2 linked regions of the Arabidopsis thaliana genome follow. The protein of the gene in region 1 interacts with the protein of each later gene in a pairwise test. Each region holds a gene or a part of one and is shown in the gene's direction. Other genes may lie near its edges.

Region 1 (9,802 bases):
ATGGGTCCCAAATGTCGAGTGCCGTTGTATACGACGAACACTATTAAATTGTCGGTAGCTCCTAGTTGCCTCCACGTGTAGATTTCCTGATGGCTTTCATGAAATCAAATTGGGTTTTTATTCATTTTTTGTGGAAGAAAATACGGAAGACCAAACAGTATCATTTTTTTTTCTGACGGCAAATATCTCGTGCCAATTGTTATTTTCTTAAAAGTATAGTAGGACAAAAGTGTAAGGGCAATTATATATACTTAGGACGATAAATAGTGTTTTATTTTGGCCACAATGTGACAATGGAAGAATGATGTTATATGATTCAAGGAGGCAATATGACCTAAAACGTGGCCTAAGTTTGGTTTCATTTGTGAATTATGTGGTTAACCTCATACTAGTTTTACCTACCCTAATTTATTTTTGGCATTAATTTAAATAAACAAAAATAAACCAAATTATTTTTTTAGTCAAAATGTTACAAGAAAGTAACAAAAAGTAAAAGAAGATGGTGAAGCAAGTTTTCGCAGTAAAACGCGATGGAACTTTGAGACTTCCTGATAAATATATGCTTAGATGATCAAAATTCATACATGTTTATGTCCATATCTATGCGATACTTTTGCTGCATTGTAGACACCAAAAAAACAAAAAAAATCTACTAGTACTGATGGTTGGTTCAATTGAATAAAAAGAATGCGATTGCGTGTGACCCAGAACACTCATACTTGTCATTGTTCAGCTGTCAGCTTTCGTCTGGTTTGCCATATATGTCAAATAGATTGTCCATATATATGCGCACGAGCTATTCATCAGTGGCTGCAACCAGAAGATTACAAGTTGAAGTTAAGAAGTGTCTTCAAACATCCCAAACAATAGAGAAAGTAATAAGATAGATATTTGGTTTACCTGTAGATGAACTGGCACATACTTGAATGTAACAAAATCACAGACCGGCCAATACATAAGTCCATTTTTCAATGTTGGCAGAAGATCTCTCTTCAATCTCGCCACAATTTCCTCAGAATTTTCGCCTTAAAAAGGACCAACAACGTGCCAGAACCAATCTCATAATGAGCACCATAAATTTACAGGCAGAGAAACCGTAAAAAGCTAAATCCGTTCAATCCATAGAGGTTTGATTATGTTATGTACCTTGTAAAGCAGCATTGTAGGAATAGAAGACTGTGTTGCTAACAGGTCCGAAAAGAACCTGCCCCATCATTATTTTCTTAAAGGTTGTCAACACGTCGCGCTTTGGCAATATCTTCGAAAGATAACTGAACCACAGATGCTGAGACGGCCCGAGAAATATCAACCCAAAGCTCGCCATTCTCGCTGTTCTTATCAAGTCAAAAGAACCAGTTGGCTCCATTGTGATCATCTGTTGAAGAATTTAGAGAGTCAACACAAATAAAACAAAACAAAAGGTTCTCTAGTTTCGCTCTAACATATTACTGGGGGAAGAGCACCACAACATGATCATAAAAAGACTCAAAAGAGAAATCCACTAATGACAAGAAGAAAAACAGAGTTTACAAGAACCCCAACACACACACCTAAAGCTTTTTTCACCTTAGCAATAAGTATTCACAAGAGATAATAACAAGAAGATTAGACTATTCGGATTGGAGTGTGAGTTTTCTGAGTAATCAAACCAATACTAAATTCATCCATTATTCAGTACAGAAAGACTTCAAATTCACAAGAGTACAATATACAGATTCAGTAAACACTGTAAGTACAGTCTCACACATCAAAGAACAACAGTTGAGAACACAGACTAAACCAAAAATATGAGAATAACAATTCATTAAAAAACACCAACTTTTAGTGCTATCTCCACCTATTCTTTACTAAAGTATTATAACTTCTTCCACTAGTAAGATTATGATCTAGTTTCAAATCAAATTTGGAATTGTCTTGGTATAATAACAAATGAAGATTAGTCTTTTCTTCCTAAATCAAGAGATAAAATTCAAAACTTTAACAAAATTCTCTAATTAGTAATGAAATGAGAAAGAACCCTAAATTCCAAAAACTACAAAGATTCAAAAAAAAACCTGAGAAGTGAGATCTGCAGCCATATAGATGACAGAAGTAGTGATACTCTTAGTCATAAAAGGATGTGATTCGAGCTTTCTCAAATACCATCGTAGAAACGCAGGTTGTTTCGAAGAAGAAGACGAAGCCTTCGTCGTTAGATTTCGCGACACGGAGAAAACACGAGGGATTACGAAATTCCCAGTTTTGCGTAGCTCGTGAATCGATCGGCCGGAGAATCCGAGAATCGGTTTCCGACCGGTGAACACTGTTTTCAAGAGAGCATTGTTGATCCCGTGAAGAGAGCGACGATCGGAGAAGAAACGTTTGCTCAATCCAACGATATTCATCTTCTTTTTTCGCCGATGCTTCGTTAATGGCGGCAGCTTACACTGTACTTTTGATGTATCTCTCTCTCTGTACCAGAACTTTTAGTCTCAATACACGCAAACAACAAACAGTGCTTAACCAAAACCAATAAACGACATAAAGTTTGATATATCTCTCCACGCAATAAAGCAAACGACAGCGTTTTTCGTATTCCATTAAACGTCATGCAGTTTTTAAAAGAACACCAATAAACAACATGAGGTTACTCATCCATAACAAACGGTATCGTTTTTTTTCGATCAAAATTAAAAACGACATACAGTGCTAAAACAAAGCTAATAAACGACATGAGGTTAGTTTAGGACTAATCTTATAACATCTGTTTCCTATTAATTCATCTACGCCGAGAGCTCTCTTTCTCTCTTTGCCTTCCCCAGCTATTTCAATGGATCCTTCAATTTTCAAGCTCCTTGAAGAAGATGAGGTTAGGTTTCTAATCTCACTCGTTTCAAAATCCAATTTTGTGTGATGTATCTGGAATCGTCTTCGTGGTTTTTGATTCCGGTCGAATTGTATTATTTTAGGATGAATCGATGCATTCAGGAGCTGACGTAGACGCGTTCCAAGCTGCTCTGAATCGTGATATTGAAGGTTCTATGACAACTTCAATACCCCACGTGACAAACCCAGGTTTGGTTTCTCTACAAATTCGCTCTTAAATTTTATGTCTGAGATTTTAATTTTTGTGGTACTATTAGTTAATATAAAGATAGTATCTTTTGGTTTTATCTTGGATTGGCTGCTTTGGGAAGCTTTGACATGTTAGCAAAGTTGTGCTTGTTTTTAATATATACAGTTTTCTCAGATAGGTTATTACTCTTGGAACATGGATAACTTAAGAAGATGCCTTGGTTAGGCTATATTGTAAACCTTGCTAATCTAGTGACATGTTTGGAAGTTTCAGTCCTGTATTAAAGCAATAGTTAAGGTCATGAAATATTAGTTTGTTAGGGTTTCTGTATGTTAATATCGGGATAAGCTTTGTCATTGCCAATATAGCCTGTACTAGTTGATTGTTGAGTCATTAAAATTGATCAGTGTGATGGGATTTATTAGCCAGGGTAGACATAGGTTGGTGATGCTGATACTATTTTAGTGTTAGGCTTTGTTCTTGGTTCACTGCAATCTTGACGATGATTACGTGTCTCCTTAAATCATTATTTTCTGTCTCTGGTGCTGGAAGTGATCTCTTTCCTCTGACTACACCATTAAATATTGAAATACAAATAGGTTGTGATTTGTGGATAGGTGTATGAGAGCTACTGAGTATGCATTTTGTGTGCATAATCTGCTACAACAAAATCCTGTCTTTTGTCCTTTTTTGGGTATTATATGATTTTTCCTCCAGTTTAACTTGTGATTTGAGTATCATCAACCAATTGCTTCTATTATTTTTATAGGAAACAACCATTCTTCCAGGCAGCAGTTTTCGACATGGAAGAATGGTATTGGAGATTCTAATATCAATGTCCAGACTCAGCATAGCCTTGAAAGTACTCAGATGAAGGAGCAAGAAGGATCGACTTTAGAAAATCAACATCAACATGATTTGAAACGCGCAAATGAACCTCATTTACAACACAACCAGCCTCAAGACCTTCATCGAGCTGGTCAACTCTGGGAGAATCCCTCGCAGGTCCCCCAATCAACTGGGTTACCGATTAGTGAAAAGAATCCTACTGGTAATGAATCAGATAGATCCCATAATCAAGAGAGTGAATCTCAGTATATGAAACTGCAAAAGATGAGTAGTCAACAGGCTCGGGGAGTGGAACCGCCTGTTAACCCTATGAATGTTAACCCTATAAACCGCAACCCTAAGCAAGTACCATTTGCTGCTTTGCTTCCTACTTTAATGAACCAACTCGATAAAGATAGAGCACTGCAGCTCCGTACCCTATATGCTAGACTTAAGGTATGTCTATCTGTGAAATCATTTGACATTCTGTTCCAAAGCTATTGTATTATCATTTCTTTCCTTCTGCTACTTTTTTTTGCAGAAAAATGAAATCCCCAAAGAGGGGTTCACACGACATATGAAAGATATTGTGGGCGATCAGATGCTCAGGATGGCAGTTAGTAAACTCCAGCAGGTATTACCATTTTGCATATATTGTGCCATGTTGTGACTAAAACCAGACAACCAACCTAGGGTATTAGTTTGTAAGTGGAATCATGTTGGAATTGTTTGTCTAAAAGTTCTGCTTGCTAGTGCTTTACATTTTTACTCTTTTTTTACATTTGCTCTTTGAATTTAGCTGGATCAAAAGACTATTGTTTTTTATTAGCTTGAATGCACATAGAATGGTCTGACATGAAGTAGAACTGTTGATAAGTCAAATGATGTTTAGAATATATATTTTAGCTTCATAAATTAGATACAACATATTGAATTAGGGAAAAACTCTTTATTTTCCTCTATTTTGATCACTACCAAAAAGTCGAGATTTACTTTCTTACAGAATACCAATCTTAGCAGATTATTATTCCTTTCCAAAGGTTATCAGACTTATGCCTGGGATGATCTAATCATATGAGTTTACTGACTTGCGTTTGTCCCACATTTACATGTTAAAACGGTGCTAAATTTATACGTCCAGCGTTTGTGGTCAATGTCTGCAGAGTAGGACTAGTTCAAGTACACCAACTGATACGATTTAATCTTATTTCCCATTATAATTATAATAAGATACGAAAAGTTTAGTCCAATTCTAATTAGAATTTCTATTTTCTTTCCCTTTTTCGTTTGGGAGTTATCTTTTCCTATATATAAGGTTGAAGCTCTTTATCTTTGTCCGAGGGAACCAAAGTTATTCTCTTTGTTCTGTTTTCTACTATTTTAATGAAGGTTTTGCTTTTTGAACTGGGTTCTTAATTCCAACTAAAATTGTGCTAACCGTTGAAGCATTTGAAATTGGGTATAGATTCTTATTTATTTGTAATTTGTGCTCATTGTTTTCAGGTGAACTATAACCAGGGAAAAATTGGAATTCAAGCTCCTTCTACTGGTATAAATTATTCACTAATGCATTCTTTTTTATTTTTCTTTCACCATTATCATAAAAGCTTCTATACTCTCCATAGATATATCTTATTACTTCCATGCAGGAGCCAATATCTTACCTGATTAAATCTATTCATTCGCAGAAATCAATAATCAAAAATCTCAGTCTGATCCTCGTGCAGTCCATCTTAACCAACTACCGTCCTCAGCTTCAGGCACCTTAGGCAGTTCAGTTCCGGTACAGGGACTTACCAAACATCCGCAGCACCAGATGCAGCATCCACCAAGTTCTTTTCCTATGTATACCACTTCTGGTAGTTTTCATTCATTCCCGGGTCCAAACACCAATGCTTCTGGTTCCACGTTGAGACCTCACCTTCATGATTCCCATATGAGACATGTGGCACATAACCAGCCTATGGGATCAACTGGTCTTGGAGGACCGCCCCAGTCTACCACAAACATGATGACTATGCCCAAGTTTGAGAGGCCAAGTTCTGTAAATGATCCGAGTAGGGTTCAGGGTGGCGCTACATCGCACTTCCAGAACAGCTCATCATTGCCTCTAAATTCTGCACCTGGTCAAGGATCATCAGTGTCCCACGTAAAGCAGGAATCAGTTGATCAAAGTTTTGAAAAGAATAATGCAGCCTCAATGACTTCGAATGAGGACTTAGAGAAGGAGTCCTCTAGAATGGTTTTATCCACGCCTAACAACATGGCGCCTGCAAGCTCTGTTTCTCCTTCCATGACAACTCAACTAGACGCCAGCACAACTGTAAGAGATCTATTAATATATAGTTTTCTCATTATAAAAGTCAGTCTCCACTGTTCTTGTTTGCCTCTTCTCTTTGAGCTGCTGGGGCAACTATGGCGCTTCAAAAGCCCTTGCATATTTTCCGTGTTATGTCCGACAACCTGGACATCTATTGTTTTTCCTTGTTTTGGGTTTTATAATTTCTACTATAAACAGTAAATAGGAAAAGTTTCAATTGGACATCATTAACATTGTTTGTGTATCCATCAGATGAATTCTCGTGGCCCATTGGGAACCTCTCAAGGAGGAGCTAATGCTAGGATGCCACCCAAAAAGCCTTCTGTTGGTCAGAAAAAACCTCTTGAGACATTAGGTTCTTCACCTCCACCACCAAGGTAATTGATCTGCTCAGGCTTAGAAACAGGGAACAGTTTTTTAAGTCACTCTTTCTTCGTTAATAATAGACTTCTGATGTATGGATTTTTAAGTGTAAACCACTTTTCTTTTCGAGTCCCCAAGTAATATAAAATCATAATCGTTTTGCATGGATCAACTTGCAGCAAGAAGCAAAAAGTAGCAGGGAATTCTATGGATCAAAGTATTGAACAGCTCAATGATGTCACTGCAGTCAGTGGTGTTAATCTCAGGGTGCGTTTCCTGGTAGCTTCAGTTTTCAATTTTAATCTGGATGTAGATTACTGAAGTAAATCATTTTTTGTCTGCATTTGATTTAGGAAGAGGAAGAACAATTATTTTCTGGGGCCAAGGAAGATGGTCGTGTTTCCGAAGCATCTCGGAGAGTTGTGCACGAAGAAGAAGAAAGATTAATCTTGCAGAAGAATCCTCTGCAAAGAAAGCTGGCGGAAATTAGTTGGGATACTTCCCATATCTTCTTCTATTTTAATTTCTAGTTATTGAATCACTTGGAGACGAAGCTTACATATGCTTTTCTTATCTGGCAGTGGCTAAAGCCGGGTTAAAGCAGATAAGCAATGATGTCGAACGGTGCTTATCTTTGGTGAGATGTCAACTTCGTGTGCATTGTTTGCATACAATACTTGAGCTTCTTTTTCCCCTTTTCTCATGTATTTGCTTTCAGTGTGTGGAGGAAAGGATGCGAGGACTATTATCCCATATAATTCGGTTGTCAAAGCAGGTCAGTCTAACTTTCTCTTACTACCTGGTTCAACATTGTTTGATAAATTCTGTCTGAAGCTAAAAATGCTTCTTCAGCGGGTTGATGCTGAGAAATCTAGGCACCGGACTTTTATCACATCAGATATTCGGCTACAAATCAACGAAATGAATCAGAAGGTGAAGGAAGAATGGGAGAAGAAACAGGCTGAAGCAGAAAAGCTTAAGAAACCGAGTGAGGTCTGTTCTGAGCTCATTATCTATGTTCTTATGTTTACTACAACACACAGACATTGCAAATTTCATCTTTTTGCTGCAGAGTGAAGAAGGTGATGGTGGAGTTGACAGTGAGAAGGATAAAGAAGATAATCGTTCAAAGGGTGTGAAGGTATGGAGAAATTAATAATACATTTGTGGAAATTAATAATACCGTTGCAGTGTTCTTACAAAAGTGGTTTCGACATGTGAAGGGAAATAAAGAGGATGACGACAAAATGAGAACGACAGCTGCAAATGTTGCTGCTCGTGCTGCTGTCGGAGGAGATGATGCGTTCTTAAAATGGCAATTAATGGCTGAAGCTCGTCAGAAATCTGTATCTGAAGCTGGTAAAGATGGGAATCAGAAAACTACTTCAGGTGGAGGAAAGAACTCCAAAGATAGACAAGATGGTGGACGACGGTTTTCTGGTACTGGTGAGTCCATCCTTTTTAACTTGTTTCCCCTAGCAAAGCCGATGAACAAACCGATAAACCCTCCTTGAAAGCATGAAATGCTGCTAGTGTTAGGAAATGCTAAGAATCTAGCTGTGGTGTGGGGATTGTCTATCGAGTTAGTTCCTCACGGTTTTGGTTTGCGATGATGAGCTTTGGATTCTTGTTTGCAGGTGGTCGAAGAGTAGGGAAAAACCAAGGTTCGTCGCTTCAACCGAAAGTGGTGAGGACAATCTCTGTGAAGGATGTGGTTGCGGTCCTCGAAAGAGAGCCACAGATGTCCAAATCCACTCTGATGTATCGATTAATTCAATAGAAAGAAGAATCATTATATTTATAAGCTTCTGATGATAATTTAATCGTCAAGGCCCCAAGTCATTTATTTTTATACCATTGTGATTTGTTTCTGTTATGTTCATTGTTTTTTCATGGCCATTTCAACTCAAACGTCAATTTACAACACATCTTCTAGTGACTCATATCTCAATACTTTGCATCCAATGCAAAATTGAAAGACAAAAGTACTCTTTGTTAAATCATATACAGTATGTATCACACCGTCTAGTTAGCGACTGGACCCATCAAATAAATAATCACAAATTATTAATATGGTTGCTATAACTTCATTACTCTTATTGATATTTCTTGTAAATAGATGATAAAAATATTGTGTTTAGTCCAAATAATACACGCAAACTCGAGAAATTTGTCTACACTAAACCATATTATTCAAGTAAAAGAATGAGTAAAGATCACGCGGAACTTAATTGTGGTTTTGTGGTCCTCCCCACCTTCTGTGACTCGCACCTCTATCCCATTTACTACTTCGCATAAAATACTCGTTTTCACTCTATTCAATGCCAAGAAAACAACGTTGTAACTACTAAGAACCCATAAATATACTGAAAACACGAATTTCAATTATGTTTTTAGTGTTTCATCGTGTAACTTTTTCATAATATTTAAGGATTCGATCTTATCTATATATAGACAATACACTTCAAATTCTAAGGATAGACTAGAAGAAAACTCAATAAGGAAAAGTTTCATACTAATATTAGATGGAAAACAATTAAGAAAATAATAATAATACTATGCTTATGGTTATGATTTTGGTAGATGAAGTCGTAAAGAATATAAAAAAAAAGAACAACATTGGAGAAAATTGTCTTTAAATTACTAGGGTTTGTTTTTAGTAAATATGTGGATGAGTAAATACAATCTTAATGCAACCATTTTATAAACTAAAGAACGATATAAATAAGAATTCTAGTAGTACTAGTACATAGTGATTAGTACAACACTTAAACTCTTTGACAAATCGATACTAATCCATCACAAAAGTACCAAACATTCTAATAGAAAACGAAAAGAAAAAACTAATGAGATAGAATAATTAAAATCGCTTCATAGATATTGATCACTCCAAGGGATCAAGATTCTTCCTTTGCATCATCAATCCTTCCTTCTTCTTCTCGGGTTCTTCTGTGATCGTCGACAAACCTTGCCAGAGAGATAAACAATGTAATATGAAATTGTTTTATCTAGAAAAGATTCAAGAACTTATATTCATACATATATATAAGAAAATGAATATACCTGTTAAGTGAAATTTCTCCTTGAGCATCATTCTTCCAAGCTTTGATGCTCTAGCCTTTTCAAACAGCCACGTAGCCTCCATCTGTTTGCTTATCATTTGAGCAGCATAGTAAGGGATATTACCACGAAAGCAGCGGCCATTGACGAACATGATACAATCCATCAAGCTTTCT
Region 2 (8,206 bases), on another chromosome or scaffold:
GCTTATTTGCTTATCAGTTGTATGAAGAGGCATAAGAGTGTCCATGTGAAAATAGCATAGCATAGCATGTTTAACTTTAAAGGATCATCTTTTCTTCCTTTTTTTGGTTCGATGTTGCTGTCAAAACCACATAATGTGCAGGCTTGATGTTTGGATGAGATGGTGAATAAGAAACAGTTTTCTACATTTCTTCACGTCACTTTATTATTTTATTTTCAATCAAGTTTATTTGCTTGTATAGATAAACTTAATGATTGTATTTGTCAAAGAAAACTGAAAAGTCATTGAATTATGGGAACGTTCCAGGTTGGTGGAAGTGGTGGACAGCCATTTGTGCTTTCTCAAAACTTCTTGCACAGTATTTCAAAGTCTCCATTCCCAGTTAATACTGGGACAAGAGCAGCCAAGTTCTCCAGTTGGCTTTTCGAACATGAAAGAGACCTTATGGCTGGGGGTGTCACTCTTACTTCGGATTTGCAATGTGGTGATATTTTAAATTTCTTTTCATTGGTTTCTTCTGGTGAACTCTCTATATCTGTATCCTTGCCTGAAGAAGGTGTTGGAGAGCCTGGAGATCGAAGAGGTTTGAAACGTAGAGCTGATGACATAGAAGAATCTGAAGCTGAGAGTTCTAAGAAATTGAAGCTACTAGGCGAAGGTGAAATCAACTTCCGAAAGGAAAAGGGTTTCCCTGGTATAGCAGTATCTGTTCGTCGTGCAACTATACCAACAGCTAATGCAATAGAGTTGTTTAAGGATGATGACTCTCGCACTGGTGAATTTCATTTGAAGTGGGGAGAAGCGAATAGTGGCTGTGATTCTGATGACATGAAAGAACTTTTCAACTCTACAGATTCTACTGTCATACCAAGCAGTCTAGGTGATTCTCCCTGGCAAGCGATGGCCAGTTTTACTAGTAGCATTATGTCCGAATCAACAGATGAGGAAGTTAGTTTATTCAGTCCCAGGGTTTTTGAAACCGTTTCCAATGCCCTTCAGAAGGCTGGTGACCAAGGTCTGAGCATTGAAGAAGTCCACAGTCTTATTGATATCCCAAGTAAGCATCAGGCAAACCTTTTTAACAGGCTTTTATTTTTGCATGTGCTGGCGACTTCCTTCAGTGTTTTTATTTAACCTTTGTGTATTCATCAGGCCAAGAAACTTGTGACTGCATTGTAGATGTACTTCAAACATTTGGGGTAGCTTTGAAGGTTTGTCTGATTATCTCTTATTTTACAAACCCTGTTGCCTTTATTAAGATGAAAGTTGCAGTGCTTGGTTTACTAGTTTTACTTACCTGGATTGTGAACTCAGTTCATGTTACATCGTTTTACAAGCAACTTGTTAACCATACAATATCTTATTCAGGTAAATGGCTATAATAATTTCCGTGTTGTCCATTCCTTCTACCGATCAAAGTACTTCTTGACATTGGAGGAAGATGGAACTTCCCAAAAAAGTCAACAGTCTCTACCAGTGAACTACCTAGAGAGAGCTGTTGGGGAACATAGGTCCAAAGATATCATTGCTAGCAGCTACAGTACTTCACAGGACATGCGAGAGCATGTCGCTGGGAATAGCGTTCACAAGGTTACAATTCTTAACCTTCCTGAAACGGCTCAAACGAGCGGTTTGCATGAAGCATCTATCAAAGCTCCATCTGTTACTTTTGGAACGGGTATTGAAGGTGAAACAAAGGAATCAACTTCTGAAAAGTCACCTGTGCCTATATATCCATGGGTAAACGCAGATGGGTCAATAAATAAAATTGTCTTTGATGGACTAGTTCGCCGTGTTCTTGGTACCGTGATGCAAAATCCCGGTATACCAGAGGTAAATACTTCTCCATTTTCCACCCAATAAGTTTTTGCCATCATGGTTTCGAACTCTATGAAAATACTAATCGAAACATTCATTTGTGGCAGGACGAGATAATAAACCTAATGGACATACTAAATCCTCAGGTAATAACAATCATAAACCCTAAAAACCTCTTCTCCTATGGTTTCATTTACTGAAACTGATCAAAACTTCTTAAAGCTCTTTGTCTGTTGTCTCTATATACGGTGGTTGCTCTCTGATAACATTCTGTAAAAAAATTTCAATATCAGAGCTGTAGAAAGCTTCTGGAGTTGATGACACTCGACGGCTATATGAAAGTGAGGGAAATGGTGCAAACCAAATTCACCGGTCCTCCGTCTCTGTTAGCCGGTCTCGTCTCAACAGGTCCTAGAAAACCGGAACTTATTCGCCGCAAACACTTGTTTGCAAACTCCAAGGGACTCTTTGCCTTGTAATGTCTGTAAAATCTCTCTCAGTCTCTCTAGTTCAGTCCAAAACTCGATGCAATAAATTATTAATGTTTATGTGGGAAATTATTATAGTTTTGTGATTTAAAGTCCACAAGATCTTGTATTTGTATAGCTGTAGGTGTGATGATTAATTCTCTTTATAGATTCATAGTGTTGGATTCATATCCCTATTATAGGTGAGTTTTGGAAGGTTTTATTCAGTTAAAAAGAGAGCTTATTTTTTATTCAACTAAAAGGTCTCCTACAAGTTACAAGTTATAACTAAATAAAGATTTCTATTTAATTTGTAGACGGAAAAATCTCCAAATAAGAATGAATTAAATGATCAACAGGATGTTGTTTCCATCTAGTTAGTGTAGTTTACTTAGTTAATCAATAAAGGTTTGAATCATACAGAATCAAGAGGCAGAAAAAACATTGTGCTGAATAAATTTAAAAACATAATTCTGAAACACCAAAAACGTGAAAATAGTGCACACTAGTTTCATCACCTGAGTAACGAAACAGTTTGACTTTTTGTTGACGTATTTGATGTAATAAATGGTGAAGAGAAAAAAATGTAAAATATTGATTGCATTGGTCTATGAGATAATCCTACAAAAAGTGTTAGAGCAGTTGTGCGAGAGTCTGGAATAATGAAACACAGTTCAGTACAAGTATCTTTTCGATCATCTTCCGCTAAATCTACTGACGTGTACGGCTCAGATTCTTTTTTCCCCAGAACTGATTCAACAAACAAAACAAAAAAAATAGAAGACCATATTTTATCGGTCAATAAACTTCTGGGAAAAAAATAAAACACGATTTCATGAGAGAAAATCGACAAAACCCCTCTCAACCAAATAATACACCTTCTTCTTCTTCTTCTTCTTCTTCTTCTTCACAGCTGGGTTTCTTCTAATGGCGGAACCGATTCCCTCATCGTCTCTGTCACCGAAATCTCTACAATCTCCTAATCCTATGGAACCTTCTCCTGCATCTTCTACTCCTTTACCTTCATCATCATCTCAACAACAACAACTCATGACAGCTCCGATTTCCAATTCTGTTAATTCCGCTGCGTCTCCGGCGATGACTGTAACTACCACCGAAGGTATTGTAATTCAGAACAATTCGCAACCTAACATCTCCTCTCCCAACCCTACTTCTTCTAACCCACCAATCGGAGCTCAGATCCCGTCGCCTTCTCCTCTCTCTCACCCTTCTTCATCTTTAGATCAGCAAACACAGACTCAGCAACTCGTTCAACAAACTCAGCAATTGCCTCAACAACAACAACAGATTATGCAGCAAATCTCTTCATCTCCGATTCCACAATTATCGCCGCAACAGCAACAGATTCTGCAGCAACAACACATGACTTCACAGCAAATCCCAATGTCGAGTTACCAAATTGCTCAATCTCTTCAGCGATCCCCTTCTCTTTCTCGCCTGAGCCAAATTCAGCAACAACAGCAGCAGCAGCATCAAGGTCAATACGGCAACGTGTTGAGACAGCAAGCTGGTTTGTACGGAACCATGAACTTTGGTGGCTCAGGTTCAGTTCAACAGAGCCAGCAGAATCAGCAGATGGTTAACCCTAATATGTCCAGAGCAGGTTTAGTTGGCCAAAGCGGTCACTTGCCTATGCTTAACGGTGCTGCTGGAGCTGCTCAGATGAATATTCAACCCCAATTATTGGCTGCTTCGGTACCCCATTCTTTACTTTTACTCTCTTTCCCTTTGTTGATTCATATCTTTCTTTTTGTGGATGGAGTCTCAACTTGTAGTATTGCTTTAGATGGAGATAGTGTTGCAATTGTTTTTGTTGATATGAATATAGTAAACTCTGCAGTTTCTTCTATTATTGTGTGAACAACAAATCATTTTCTTTATTCTGAGACAAATGAGCTTTTCCGTTGTAGCCGAGGCAGAAATCTGGCATGGTTCAAGGTTCGCAGTTTCATCCGGGAAGTTCTGGACAACAGTTACAAGGGATGCAAGCTATGGGAATGATGGGATCACTGAATTTGACCTCGCAAATGAGAGGTAACCCTGCTCTCTATGCGCAGCAGAGAATCAACCCGGGGCAGATGAGACAGCAATTGTCACAGCAAAACGCTCTTACTTCACCTCAGGTATGAGTTTTAAAAAGTCGTATCTTACGAACTTCTTTCTCTCACATTGTGAACTTTTTTATTGACTACTTGTTATATCTTATGGCTCATAGATACAAATGAATTCTCGTGTTGGATCCTTTCACTTCTTTTGACTTATTGTTGCACAGTCTTAATTAAACTGATCCATGAGGTTTTGGTACTTTAATCAATCACTTAATATTGACTTGCAGAGTTTTTCCAATATCTGTAATTGGCAACTAAAATACCTGAATGACGCGGGAATGATCCTTAAATTTGACAGATTTACCGTGTAATTGTAAAATCTGGCCTATGTATCTATAGAGGTACTAATACATTTATGTTGTGCAATATGCAAATTCCTGATCATTTTGTGAGCATGTGTTTCTTTCGTTTCAAGTTAAAAAATAGAGTTGCGTCGAATCTCATGTATCCTGTATCCTCTTCACTTGGTAACTTTTTGTAATCCCCTGTGTAGGTCCAGAACCTCCAGAGAACATCTTCTCTCGCATTTATGAATCCTCAGCTATCGGGTTTGGCCCAGAATGGACAAGCTGGCATGATGCAAAACTCTTTGTCACAGCAGCAATGGCTGAAGCAAATGTCGGGAATAACGAGCCCCAATTCATTCCGACTCCAACCGAGTCAAAGACAGGCTCTTCTCTTACAGCAGCAGCAGCAGCAACAACAACAACTGTCCTCTCCTCAGTTACATCAATCTTCTATGTCCTTGAATCAGCAGCAGATATCACAGATAATACAACAGCAGCAGCAACAATCACAATTAGGCCAGTCGCAGATGAACCAATCCCATTCCCAACAACAACTACAACAGATGCAGCAGCAACTACAGCAGCAACCACAACAGCAGATGCAGCAGCAGCAGCAACAACAACAGCAAATGCAGATTAATCAACAACAGCCATCTCCAAGGATGTTGAGTCATGCAGGACAAAAATCTGTCAGTTTAACGGGTTCACAACCAGAGGCTACACAATCGGGTACAACAACACCAGGTGGTAGCTCAAGCCAGGGAACAGAAGCAACAAACCAACTCCTTGGTAAAAGGAAGATACAGGATCTGGTTTCGCAGGTGATTTTCCCTCTTCAACTCTATAGCTTGTTTCTATCTTCTTCTTCCTTTAGAAATATGTTTCATTCTATTGTATCATGATGTTCAGGTGGATGTACATGCGAAACTGGATCCTGATGTTGAAGACCTCCTTTTGGAGGTGGCAGATGACTTCATTGATTCGGTTAGAAGCTAATATCAATTATTTAGTATTAACTTCAGCTTTTTTATTTACAGATTTGTGAAAACCTATCTCTATCTTACCTAAACTTCATTGCAGGTCACATCTTTTGCATGTAGCTTGGCTAAGCATCGTAAATCATCTGTATTGGAGCCCAAGGATATATTACTCCACCTAGGTCTGTACTTAATTTGGTGATGAGCTCTGTTCAATGTGAATTCTAAGTAGTTGCTATTGTTACTCATTTTACTGTTTGCTGAGTTATAATTTTTTGCAGAGAAAAACTTGCACTTGACAATTCCTGGATTCTCAAGTGAGGATAAACGTCAAACAAAAACTGTAAGTGATTTTCTTTTTAAAACTCTTTAAAAGCACAAAAAGTATATGTGAATGTGCATCACCACCTGAATGTCCAATAAAAGAAAAAGAGAAAGAACATGAGTTTGCTAGATATTGATCCCAAGTTAACAACTTGCAGGTACCAACTGATCTCCACAAGAAGCGACTTGCAATGGTAAGCTGAATGATATTCCAAACATCTCTTTGTGTACAGTCGTGCTTATGGACCTCTCTCTGAAGTTTCTTTTTTGTGTTGTGTCGCCAGGTGCGTGCATTACTAGAATCCTCAAAACCAGAGACGAATGCAAGCAATTCCAAGGAAACTATGAGACAAGCGATGGTGAACCCAAATGGTCCGAATCATCTCTTAAGACCCTCCCAAAGTTCAGAACAATTGGTTTCGCAGACATCCGGTCCTCACATATTACAACACATGACACGATACTAAAGGACTTGAATATAGAAGCCTGAGCCAGCTCTCACTGCTATGTTCATCTTCTTGGTAAACACTTTTATCATACACAAACACCACTTACATAAATAAGAAAACCTCGGGTATTTATGGCTGGCTATATATAGTCCTCAACTTTTCCTATTATAGGTTGCAGGAGTTTACACATCTATGGAGAGTTGAAGGCACAAGTAGTGAAACTGTATGTATTATATATAAAATTCATGAGTCTTATAGGCAATCAAATAATACAGTTATTTTTTTCGTAGTTGTGGGACTTTCTAACTATTTCGTCTTCTTTTTTAGTGGGTTTTTGTTTTTTCCTTTTGTAATTTTAGTTGTCCTCTCCATTTTAAGCTTGAAAGTTTTAGCTCTTTGATGACTCAGCAGTTGATGATATGTTAAATGATGTCAACTATATATACACTTAAATCAAATGCATATAGATATTTATATGAAGAAGAAGTATATACAAAAATAGAAATCAAGCACTTAAGACAAACGAAGTAATAAAATTATTAAGAGTAGTTGGTGCTTCAATGTTAACAGCGTGTCCTGTTTCCTTTATTATCTCTAATCTTGAACTCTGTAAATGCCTGCAAAAGTATATAATTTTTATTAGTTTCGACATATTGGATTCACGATCAATAATCACATGCGTTCACGTTCGATGTTTCATCTCTTTTGACCTAGTAGAAATATTAAATATTTTATACGGATGTAGTTATTATGACAACACTTGTTATGGGACTTATTACCATAAAATATCAATGTAGTATTTACCTTTGCAGCCGATAAGCATGCTCCAAGGGAAACACCTTGTCCTTGTCTCCCCAAACGATTAACGTTTTCTGCATCATATATATCAAATTAATCAGAGTCATATTTTATTCGTAGATTCGAATAAAGCATCTCAATCCATAGCATCCCTCTAGAAATAATATAAAAGTGAAAGCAAACAAACGAGAATAGTGTTTCCACTATCCAAAAGATGAATACTTAAAACCCATAAAAACAATCCAAAACATCAATTAGTTCTCTATCAGCGACACATTAATCATCACGCCAACTTATTAATATATATCTTGATGCTTAGAGTTAAACCATTAGTGATCAGGAATTAAAAAAAGGTTAACTCAACGAAATTTTATACTACCTGGGATATTACAGGCAATTCTGGTTCCTCCTCTCGTTCCAACAAATTCTTAGCTAGCTCAAGAAGCTCCTGCCGATTTTTCTCATACATTACCTATAAGAAGAGGATGAATTTTGCAAATTCCAAACCTTTAGGATCATGACTAACGAACAAACAATTTACGGGACCAGATTCGGAAATAAACAGATAAAACAGAAACAGAACAAACTTACAGCGATGAATTGGGAAAGGAAAAAGTCTGGAACCCAATCGACGAACGTTAAACCAGTATTCATAGATATCTTAATCAGCAACCGTAGATCCATCGGAGTTTTCGGAACTAAAATCTTCGAACAATCTCCGCCGTGTTTTTTCAATTCTGCCGTCTTCTGCTGCTGTGTAAATCCCACTCCACTACTCACAATCACCAATTTCTCAACCATCGCCGGCCAAATCTCCGCCATTTTATACGCCACAAATCCACCGTAACTAATCGAATAAATCGATATTCCTCCTCCTCCTTCAACGCATCCCAGTTTCTTCAATCCTCCGACGACGCTCCTCGCCTGAATCTCAACGCTCCGATCTCTATTCTTCGA

The links.
Region 2: the proteins of TAF4 (region 1) and EER4 interact in a two-hybrid assay, tested with the Arabidopsis thaliana proteins (one study listed by BioGRID).

The regions. Positions count from the first base shown.
Region 1 is NC_003076.8:17,314,152-17,323,953, reverse strand, and holds TAF4 (TBP-associated factor 4), read left to right. Parts: upstream 1-2,768; 5' UTR 2,769-2,809; coding exon 2,810-2,848; intron 2,849-2,948; coding exon 2,949-3,054; intron 3,055-3,824; coding exon 3,825-4,339; intron 4,340-4,424; coding exon 4,425-4,517; intron 4,518-5,386; coding exon 5,387-5,432; intron 5,433-5,571; coding exon 5,572-6,206; intron 6,207-6,455; coding exon 6,456-6,580; intron 6,581-6,745; coding exon 6,746-6,833; intron 6,834-6,919; coding exon 6,920-7,055; intron 7,056-7,147; coding exon 7,148-7,203; intron 7,204-7,284; coding exon 7,285-7,341; intron 7,342-7,418; coding exon 7,419-7,559; intron 7,560-7,638; coding exon 7,639-7,707; intron 7,708-7,789; coding exon 7,790-8,012; coding exon of another isoform or gene 8,013-8,080; exon of another isoform or gene 8,081-8,116; coding exon 8,117-8,346; 3' UTR 8,347-8,493; downstream 8,494-9,802. Other genes in the region: AT5G43140 (Peroxisomal membrane 22 kDa (Mpv17/PMP22) family protein), read right to left, coding at 730-810, 901-1,025, 1,147-1,375, 2,055-2,384; AT5G43120 (ARM-repeat/Tetratricopeptide repeat (TPR)-like protein), read right to left, coding at 9,451-9,533, 9,630-9,802.
Region 2 is NC_003070.9:5,982,670-5,990,875, reverse strand, and holds EER4 (Transcription initiation factor TFIID subunit A), read left to right. Parts: upstream 1-2,941; 5' UTR 2,942-3,212; coding exon 3,213-4,001; intron 4,002-4,216; coding exon 4,217-4,429; intron 4,430-4,907; coding exon 4,908-5,522; intron 5,523-5,610; coding exon 5,611-5,685; intron 5,686-5,781; coding exon 5,782-5,860; intron 5,861-5,959; coding exon 5,960-6,021; intron 6,022-6,160; coding exon 6,161-6,196; intron 6,197-6,286; coding exon 6,287-6,469; 3' UTR 6,470-6,523; exon of another isoform or gene 6,524-6,622; 3' UTR 6,623-6,892; downstream 6,893-8,206. Other genes in the region: AT1G17450 (B-block binding subunit of TFIIIC), read left to right, coding at 307-1,057, 1,153-1,211, 1,369-1,833, 1,926-1,964, 2,112-2,297; AT1G17430 (alpha/beta-Hydrolases superfamily protein), read right to left, coding at 6,957-7,068, 7,256-7,323, 7,629-7,721, 7,841-8,206.